Linked DNA regions of Kluyveromyces lactis. The protein of the gene in region 1 purifies or fractionates together with the protein of each later gene. This does not show direct contact. Links are inferred from orthologs where the notes say so. Each region holds a gene or a part of one and is shown in the gene's direction. Other genes may lie near its edges. The genes, in order: ADA2, AHC1 and SGF11.

Region 1 (3,428 bases):
TAACTGGACCCTTTTGGATTCTCTTCATCAAATGGGTGGTGTAACCAGCAATCTTGTTTCTCAATCTCTTAGATTGGATGGTAGCGATTTCGTCACACAATCTCTTGTTGGTTTGGAAATCCATGGTCAACTTTGGATAGTACTTTTCAATCAAAGCCTTGGAGGCACGCTTGACGGTCTTGGTTCTAACTCTACCCTACTCAAATAATATCAACGAATCGATTTGATCTTGTTAGTAAAAGTGGCTTCATTTTATATTGCTTCTGCGAAAACTTCCATGGAAGATAGACCTGAGAAAGAATTTGATCCTGTGAAGTTCATCATTTTGGGGGAAATAATTGGACATATGCGTTCGTTTCGTCAACTTTATTACATGTGAGAGACCTTTAACGTTAGGGTGATGAACTCCATTAATACTGTGTTGGATATGATGTTGTGGTAGCTCATATACTAATCAATGCAGGCCGTTTGCTTTATTTTGTTCCATTTTACATCAGACGGAGTTTTGATCCTTACTGTGGGTCACAATACTGGAACATGGTCATACATCACTCCTGACATGCCATAATGTTCAACTGGTGATTGGTACTTCCCAAATTGTGCAACTTTTAATACCTTTCTCACTTTCTATAGTTTTGTCTTCTTCCTCATCATTCTATTATTCTACAGTGACCAGTGCCAACCCAAAGTCCAGGTTATCTATTCCTCCTATAATCTCTCTTAATGTAGATTTTGGTCATTAGTCTACGTCTCCCGATCAATCCAGCTCTGGAAAAACACTTCTTCTCATAATCTCTTATCTTTATGGTTCTTTTCGCTTCAATTTGTCAGTTATCATCATGCTTAACGTACCATTTTGTATCGATTTAGTCCTTACGGTTGTTCCTTGTTTCAAATGCTAGAATAGTGTTAAACACGTACTGTCAACAATTGGTCTTGTAAATGTTACCGTAATCTTTAAAAGTTCATTATTACTAGACAGTATGAAATTTCATGGTGCAAACGTTGAAACAAACAGACTAACCAGGATTCACTCACAACCGGGGAACGGAAACGAAGCACAATGCAAAGGGAATACTAAGCTGGACAGAGCTAGGCAGAAGGTGTCACTGGAGGACACAATGTTACCGAAGGAACAGCTGGTAAGAGAGTGCGTGGTAGCATCCAAAGTGGGCAGAGATGGGACTCGGGAACGAAAGTGCGTCTCGTGTGGATGACAGCAAGCTAGACAGACATTCTGTCTTCCAGTACCAGTCCACACACCTTTCCCCTCCGTCCCAATTCTCTTACGAAGTGCCAAGTAGTATTTCCTCTTTTGGTTTTATCAAATTTTATGAAATTAGCGTTCTCGAATTTCAGGATTTTCAGATTTTTCATCCTTAATAAGAATGTAAGGATGTAACAGTCCCGCATTCTGTTCTCCTGTTTACATGGAAAGTTCAATTATGATGTTCTAAAGAATCAACAAGTGATTTCAAGAGAGTTTAAAGAATAAGTCAAACTCATTGATATAAAAAGATAACTAACTTCGAGGACCCGCAAACTGTTATAGTGATTTAGCTTTACATCTGTTTGACTTTGAACTGCTTCTCCTTGTTCAACCGTCACCATGTCTAACAAGTTCCATTGTGATATTTGTTCTGCAGATTGTACAAACAGAGTCAGAATAACATGTGCGGTGTGTCCAGAGTATGATTTATGTGTGCCATGCTTCGCAAAAGGGTTATACAACGGTAAGCACCGGCCAAGCCATGACTATAAAGTGATTGAAACCAACTCATACCCGATTCTCTGTGAGGATTGGGGCGCTGATGAAGAGTTACTGTTGATAAAAGGAGCCCAGACACTGGGATTAGGTAACTGGCAAGATATTGCGGATCATATCGGATCTAGAGATAAGGAAGAAGTTTATGATCATTATTTGAAGTTTTACTTGAACAGTGAACACTATCCTATTCCAGATATCACAAAAGACATTAATGAACCGCAAGAACAATTTTTGGAGAAAAGAAAGAAACGCATGGAAAGATTTAGGGAAAGGCCTTTGGAACCTCCTAGGAAACCGATGGCATCACAACCGTCATGCCATGAAGTGCAAGGGTTTATGCCAGGTAGATTGGAATTCGAAACGGAGTTCGAGAATGAGGCCGAAGGTCCGGTCAAAGATATGGTCTTCGACGCCGATGATCAACCGTTAGATATTGAAGTGAAGTTGGCTATTCTTGACATCTACAACTCGAGATTGACGACTAGAGCAGAAAAGAAGCGTTTGTTGTTTGACAATTGTCTGATGGAATACAGGAGACTACAAAGTCTCGATAAGAAGCGTTCAAAAGAAACCAAAGATTTGTACAACAAAATTAAGGCTTTCGCAAGAATCATGTCCCCGCTGGATTTTGAAGAATTCAGCAAAGACATATTGGAAGAACTTCGGTGTCGAACAAGAATTCATCAATTGCAAGAATGGAGGAGCAACGGTATCACTACTTTGGAAGCTGGTCTTAAATATGAACGTGATAAACAAGCAAGAATTATGACATTGGAAAGATTTGGAAGTCAAGTGTACTCTTCTTCTTCATCTAGTAACACTGCCCGTTATAGAGCTACTTCGGCCCATAGATCGCAAGCTGATTATGCTCAAAATTATAACGAAGGAAGTGGACGTAAGAAACTAATGACTATCAGTGACATTCAGCATGGGGCAGATTTCCAATTATTATCAGCTGAGGAACAGCAGTTATGCATAACGTTGAAAATTTTGCCAAAGCCTTACATTGCCATCAAAGAGGTACTATTCAGAGAATTAATACGGACTGCAGGTCAACTCTCGAAGAAACAGTGTCGTGATTTATTGAATATCGAGGCAACGAAGGCCAACAGAATCTATGATTTCTTCGTTTCTCAGAATTGGGTTTAATTAGAGTTATAAAACTGTGGAAATATTGGCTCCACTGCTTACCTTACTACTTAATGTCAAATATGTACATAAAAATGTGTATACAGTGTCTCATTACAGTTTCTTGATAATAGCATTCAAAATAGCATACTTCGAATCAGATTTATCCATATTGGATAATAGATGTTGGGTCAAATAACCAGAATATAATGTAGTAAGTTGTTTGGCATTCGTCTCATCTAATTTGCTGATGTATGCAGAATACTTTTTGAAGGACAATTGGAGACTGTCGATGTTTAATTCGCCGGCAGGCATGAATTTGATATTTAATGTAACATCATGCAATAATAATTCCACATATTTTTCTGGCATACTTTTCTCAAGGGAAATATTATAATGTTCGTCCTTTAGCCATTGCAATACGTGATTTATCAGATATTCTCTTTTTAAATCTTGAAATTCCGAAAATAAGTTGATATACTCGAGGCATCTATCAAACAGGTAGGACATAACGTTTCTGCTGAGCTCTTCA
Region 2 (2,841 bases), on another chromosome or scaffold:
TTCTCGTAATGAATCCAAATCTGCGATCGATATCACTTTCAGATGCATAATTTCAACGACTTTATCGTACTTCCTATAACAACATCTCATATCTAAGATATCGCCCTTATGTGGTCTTTCACCTGATTTGGTATTGATGAACGCTTCGTCATAGATTGTCTCATCAATCAAGAAATAATATGATCTTTCTCTATTCGTTTCTGCATTGAAATCTGGAACGTTGCTAAAATGAAGATAAATCCCATCGGTTCTTTCATGTGAATGAGAAATGTCCTGAAATTGTGCGAAGATTCGAAGTCTTAACAACGTATCTCCTGCGTACTCCTCGATCTTTCCGGCAATTGTATCAAGATCCGTAATAATTTTGCTCATACTCTTCCTGTCATAAGATATATGCAGACATACCGGTAGTCAAGGGGAAGTGGCTCACTCATGTGTTCTCAATTTAAGTATTGCCCAGTTTATTAAAGTCTGGAAGATCTATCTAAAATGACTTTTGGAAAACTTTAAAAAAGGATAAATACAAAGAAATACTGATAACAACGGACTCTCTACCTGAGCTCATCACGGCTCAAAAGATTCTCAATATTTGTCCCTCACTAAGTGGTCATGTTGATTGGTTTACAGACACCAGCTTTCTTGTCGCGCTGTTTCCTCGACCCATTTCAAAATAGGCATAATTTATCCAATGTGTTTACGGTTTTAAACAGCTAGAGCCTTTCTCTTCATTCTCATTTTCCATATAAGTAGTAACAAAAAAAAAAAAAATTGTACATAACGGATTATTAACAATAGAAAGATTTTGGAAGAAAAGGGCGTAAAGACTGAGCAAATTTGTACATTAATAGACGTCCGTCACCCTATATTTGTTGCTAAACATATTCTAATGCATTCTGTGGATCATAGAAATAGTCATCAGGTACTTTTCATGGATGAAGATGATGTAGATAGCATTTCCAGATCAAACCACACGATATCATATTACCAAGTGGCAACTCCAAAATCACCACATGAACTCTCTTCTATAGCGGATAATGAGGATAATGACTCTATACACTCGTCACACCCACATGAAGATGCTGAAAGGTTAAAGTTTATGTCCACAAGAAGAGAAATACTGGACCAACTAAACTTGCAGATCATGTTGACACATAAAGAAATGGAGCATATAATAGAAGAGAATGATAAGGTATCCGGGCAGTTGGAAGTGTTAAAGATAATGCATGATGACCCTGAACTAACGGATAAGATCTCAAAGTACCAAGAGACGAGAACTAAAGAGGTGGAGGAAAGCATCAAGGCGGGATGCTCAAATGTGGAAACCCGCGAGGGAATCTATTACTACCATACAAGAAGTAAAGGCGGATCGAAAGTTAGTGGGCTACGGCTTGCTAATGAAAACGTTATTGACATTCGTATGCGTGGCATAAAGACTGTTCCTCAACAAACTTCAGCCACTGAGGTACAGAAATCAGAGGCAATAATTTCGAAGATGCCTCACCATAATCACCAACGAAACTTCAGTAGCACATGCGCTACTAGCAACAGTGGTATGATCGGAACCACTGACTTGGGTCAGCCTATATTCAGAAGACCTGATGGAATACTCATAATAATTACATGCTCTCAATGTGGAAGGGAAGGTTTCACATCTGCGCAAGGTATTGTCAATCATATGAGGCTAAAACATTTTCTCCACTATCAGTCACAACCCTTAGCGGTGCTCAGTAACCAGGTTATACTTCCGGATGAAAAGCAGGATCCAGAGATCCTAGCGAAGTTCAAAGAGTTAAAGAAAACTCCAAAGGATAGCTATTTGGCTTCGCCGATACCCTTACAACATAATGACAAAAAAATTACGAAAGACACGCCGAAGGCAACCTCGGTAGCTGAAGAATCCGCCCTAACGAAATCAACGACCCATCTTCAGAAAATGTATGGCAAGGACGATTTCAAGGATATAATCAACTACGTCAAGGACGCAAAGAATGATCTTGAAACGATAATGAAATATGAGGATGAGGAGGGTTTAGGAACCGCTTCAGAAGAAGAAGCAAAACCGAAACCTAGAAAAAGGAGTATGCTCAATGAACGGAATAAGCCTGCCGAAAAGAAAGCAAGACCAGATGTCATACATGTCACCGAGAATCACATTCCTGAGGAAGAAAAACGTTCTAGACATTATAATCTTCGTGCTAAGTCAAAGCTTAGGTCTTTCAATCGTGATGACTGAACGAAATTCAATATTTAAGGAACGAAAACACTATGTAACCATATAAATTAAAGAACTTTAATTGACTCCAGCGGATTGCGTTGCCAGCAATGTTTAATGCAATCACTTAGGTCGAATGTTTTATCTATTCAGTCATCCGTAACTTAAAAAGTTTTCCCCTATTGTCATGCAAAAAGATAATATTTTGAAAAATAAACTAGAATGAAATAGTACCTTGACGCTGGCCTACAATCCGTACAGGATTGTGGTAAAGTGCTTGTTATAAAGGAAAATATATGGGGAAGCTTGATGAAGGTGCGGGCTATGTGGAAAGAAAATAGGCGCTATTTCTCATCTAGGTGGTTTTATGCAATTGACATTCCTAAAACCAAACCTTTTGAATCAGAGTATGTACCAAAAACGGCACCTTTAAAATTTCAACCGTTCTCCAAGGTCGACTCCAAACGGATTGAGGACCTCTATACCCAGAAGAATTTCAGTAGGAAACTTGATGTTAATGAGGATCATCTTTTCGAGGTTGATCTGGAAAAGTTTTCTATGAATCCAATCTATTGGGACGGACCATCCTATGAAATACGAAGAGGTATCTGGTTTGATGACCAGAATAG
Region 3 (2,412 bases), on another chromosome or scaffold:
AAGGGAATGTCGACTGGGTCAACAACAACACGCCAGTCTTCTTCATCAGAGATCCTTCTAAGTTCCCACATTTCATTCATACTCAAAAGAGAAACCCAGAAACCAATATGAAGGATGCTGACATGTTTTGGGACTTTTTGACGACAGAGGAGAATCAAGTCGCAATTCATCAAGTGATGATCTTGTTCTCCGATCGTGGTACTCCAGCTTCTTATCGTAACATGAACAGTTACTCGGGTCATACTTACAAATGGTCTAACAAGCAAGGTGAATGGCGCTACGTGCAAGTGCATTTGAAGACAGATCAAGGTATTAAGAACTTGAACAACGAGGAGGCGACTAAGTTGGCTGGTGAAAACCCTGACTACTGTCAAAAGGATTTGTTTGAAAACATCGCCAAGGGTAATTACCCATCTTGGACCCTTTACATTCAAACTATGACCGAAGAAGAGGCAGAAAAATTGCCATTCTCTGTATTCGATCTAACAAAAGTTTGGCCTCATAAGCAGTTCCCATTGCGTCGTGTAGGTAAGATGGTTTTGAATGAAAATCCAGAAAATTACTTCGCTCAAGTGGAACAGGCTGCATTCTCCCCATCGCACACCGTCCCATACCAAGAAGCTTCTGCTGACCCTGTCTTACAAGCACGTTTGTTCTCTTATCCAGATGCCCATCGTTACAGATTAGGCCCTAACTATTCTCAAATCCCTGTTAATTGTCCATATGCATCGAAGGTTTTCAACCCAGCTATCAGAGATGGCCCAATGAACGTTAACGGCAATTTGGGCAAAGAGCCAAACTATTTGTCTACTTCTAAGAAGTACCAATTCATTCAACAATCAAAGCCAATTCAACAACATCAAGAAGTATGGTCTGGGCCTGCAATGCCTGTACATTGGGCAACCTCACCAGGAGACATCGATTTCGTTCAAGCCAGAGACTTGTATAACAAAGTGTTGAGCAAACAGCCAGGTCAACAAAAGGCATTGGCCCACAATGTCGCAGTACACGTAGCAAGTGCATGCCCTGAAATCCAAGACCGTGTATTTGCCATGTTTGCAAGAGTCGACCGTGGTCTATCTGAAAACATCAAAAAGGAAGCTCTGAGCTTATCCCCAAGAAAGGCTGCTGCATTGAATGCAAAGTTATAGAGAGAATTAGCTGTGCTTTCTTTCTCTCTCTCTATCTCTTTCCGCTTTGTATGTACGTTTTATTTATCCCCATATTTATTACAAGTATACTATTAATATCTGTCCGTAATGAGATGCATGGTATCAGGCATTGTAGCCGCTAACATGTCGACTGTTGTCTCTTGTATTCTGCTTGTATTCCCTGTGCTTATCGTCAATTTTCTGCAATATCCAATTTTAATAGAAAAGCAAGGTCAAATTAGCTTACTTTGATATTGAAACAATCAATTCTGTTCTACGATCAGACATAAGACAACAGTACTGACTTGACTTATTCAGTATTTGCAACTATCAAGAGGTGGCTGTAACCATGACTGCTTCTTTGACCACAGATTCGGTTGCCGATTCCATATATCAGAACATTCTTACTTCTATCATCCAAGATATCATCTCGCGTCAAACAGTGAAGAGAAAGCTTCTGAAACTGCAATTCCCGGATGCTAAACCGTATTACGCTGACCCGTCAGGAACATTGGATATACACGGTAAGGCAAAGCAAGCAGACTCCGCCGTTTACATCGAATGTAATGTCTGTGGACGGGAAGTTAGTGGGAACAGGTTCGCTGCTCATCTCGTTAGATGCTTATCACGTGGTAGAAGGTGAGATTTCATTACCCAGCCTTAGTGCAGCCTTAAATCTTCCCCCAAACCCATAATGTGTGTCATTTCAAATCAAGTTGTCCAGCATCGTACCCTGTACCCTTAAACCTGTGATAACGATCTTTAACCCATCATTATAACGGTGTAAAGAGTTGTCAGGTGTTACTCTACAGAAGAGCGGAAAGTTAGAGACACTAGAACTAGCAAGTACCCTTCAGAGAATTAAACTGAGTTACTTATGTCGACTTTGCTAGAGACTTTAGATCAACAATGGGTCAATTCCAGATTATACGTTGATAAAGACGAGCGCAGGACCCAGCTTGGGAAATGTGTTGAAGAAGTGCACGACTTTAAGATCCAGTTGAAGAAATTGAAAGCGCATTTGCTGAAGCATGGATCAAGTCCACAGAAACGTCTTGTTATTAGGGAGAAACTAGCGAAATCTCATAAGAACTGGGATTCTTCCATGAAGAAATCCTTAAACTCTTCTATCAGCACTTACCGGAAGTTTTCAAAGGCGTGCGTCAAGCCCTTGAATGAGTTTCAATTGGATTCTGTTTATGTGAACAAGATAAACCCTCAGAAATTGTACTATTTGGATACGGCGATCTTTTCTCACATC

The links.
Region 2: the proteins of ADA2 (region 1) and AHC1 purify together in Saccharomyces cerevisiae (affinity purification with mass spectrometry; 3 studies listed by BioGRID, with this or other methods). This does not show direct contact. The link is inferred for Kluyveromyces lactis from reciprocal best matches to the Saccharomyces cerevisiae genes ADA2 and AHC1.
Region 3: the proteins of ADA2 (region 1) and SGF11 purify together in Saccharomyces cerevisiae (affinity purification with mass spectrometry; 9 studies listed by BioGRID). This does not show direct contact. The link is inferred for Kluyveromyces lactis from reciprocal best matches to the Saccharomyces cerevisiae genes ADA2 and SGF11.

The regions. Positions count from the first base shown.
Region 1 is NC_006038.1:116,917-120,344, forward strand, and holds ADA2 (chromatin-binding transcription regulator ADA2), read left to right. Parts: upstream 1-1,609; coding exon 1,610-2,917; downstream 2,918-3,428. Other genes in the region: RPS17B (40S ribosomal protein eS17), read right to left, coding at 1-196, 853-855; snoRNA-binding rRNA-processing protein UTP6, read right to left, coding at 3,011-3,428. UniProt on the Saccharomyces cerevisiae protein: Component of the transcription coactivator SAGA complex. SAGA acts as a general cofactor required for essentially all RNA polymerase II transcription. At the promoters, SAGA is required for transcription pre-initiation complex (PIC) recruitment.
Region 2 is NC_006041.1:833,757-836,597, reverse strand, and holds AHC1 (Ahc1p), read left to right. Parts: upstream 1-886; coding exon 887-2,233; downstream 2,234-2,841. Other genes in the region: KLLA0_E09417g (uncharacterized protein), read right to left, coding at 1-372; DDL1 (putative carboxylic ester hydrolase), read left to right, coding at 2,522-2,841.
Region 3 is NC_006040.1:997,170-999,581, forward strand, and holds SGF11 (SAGA histone acetyltransferase complex subunit SGF11), read left to right. Parts: upstream 1-1,500; coding exon 1,501-1,794; downstream 1,795-2,412. Other genes in the region: CTA1 (catalase A), read left to right, coding at 1-1,151; ubiquitin-protein ligase RMD5, read left to right, coding at 2,029-2,412. UniProt on the Saccharomyces cerevisiae protein: Component of the transcription coactivator SAGA complex. SAGA acts as a general cofactor required for essentially all RNA polymerase II transcription. At the promoters, SAGA is required for transcription pre-initiation complex (PIC) recruitment.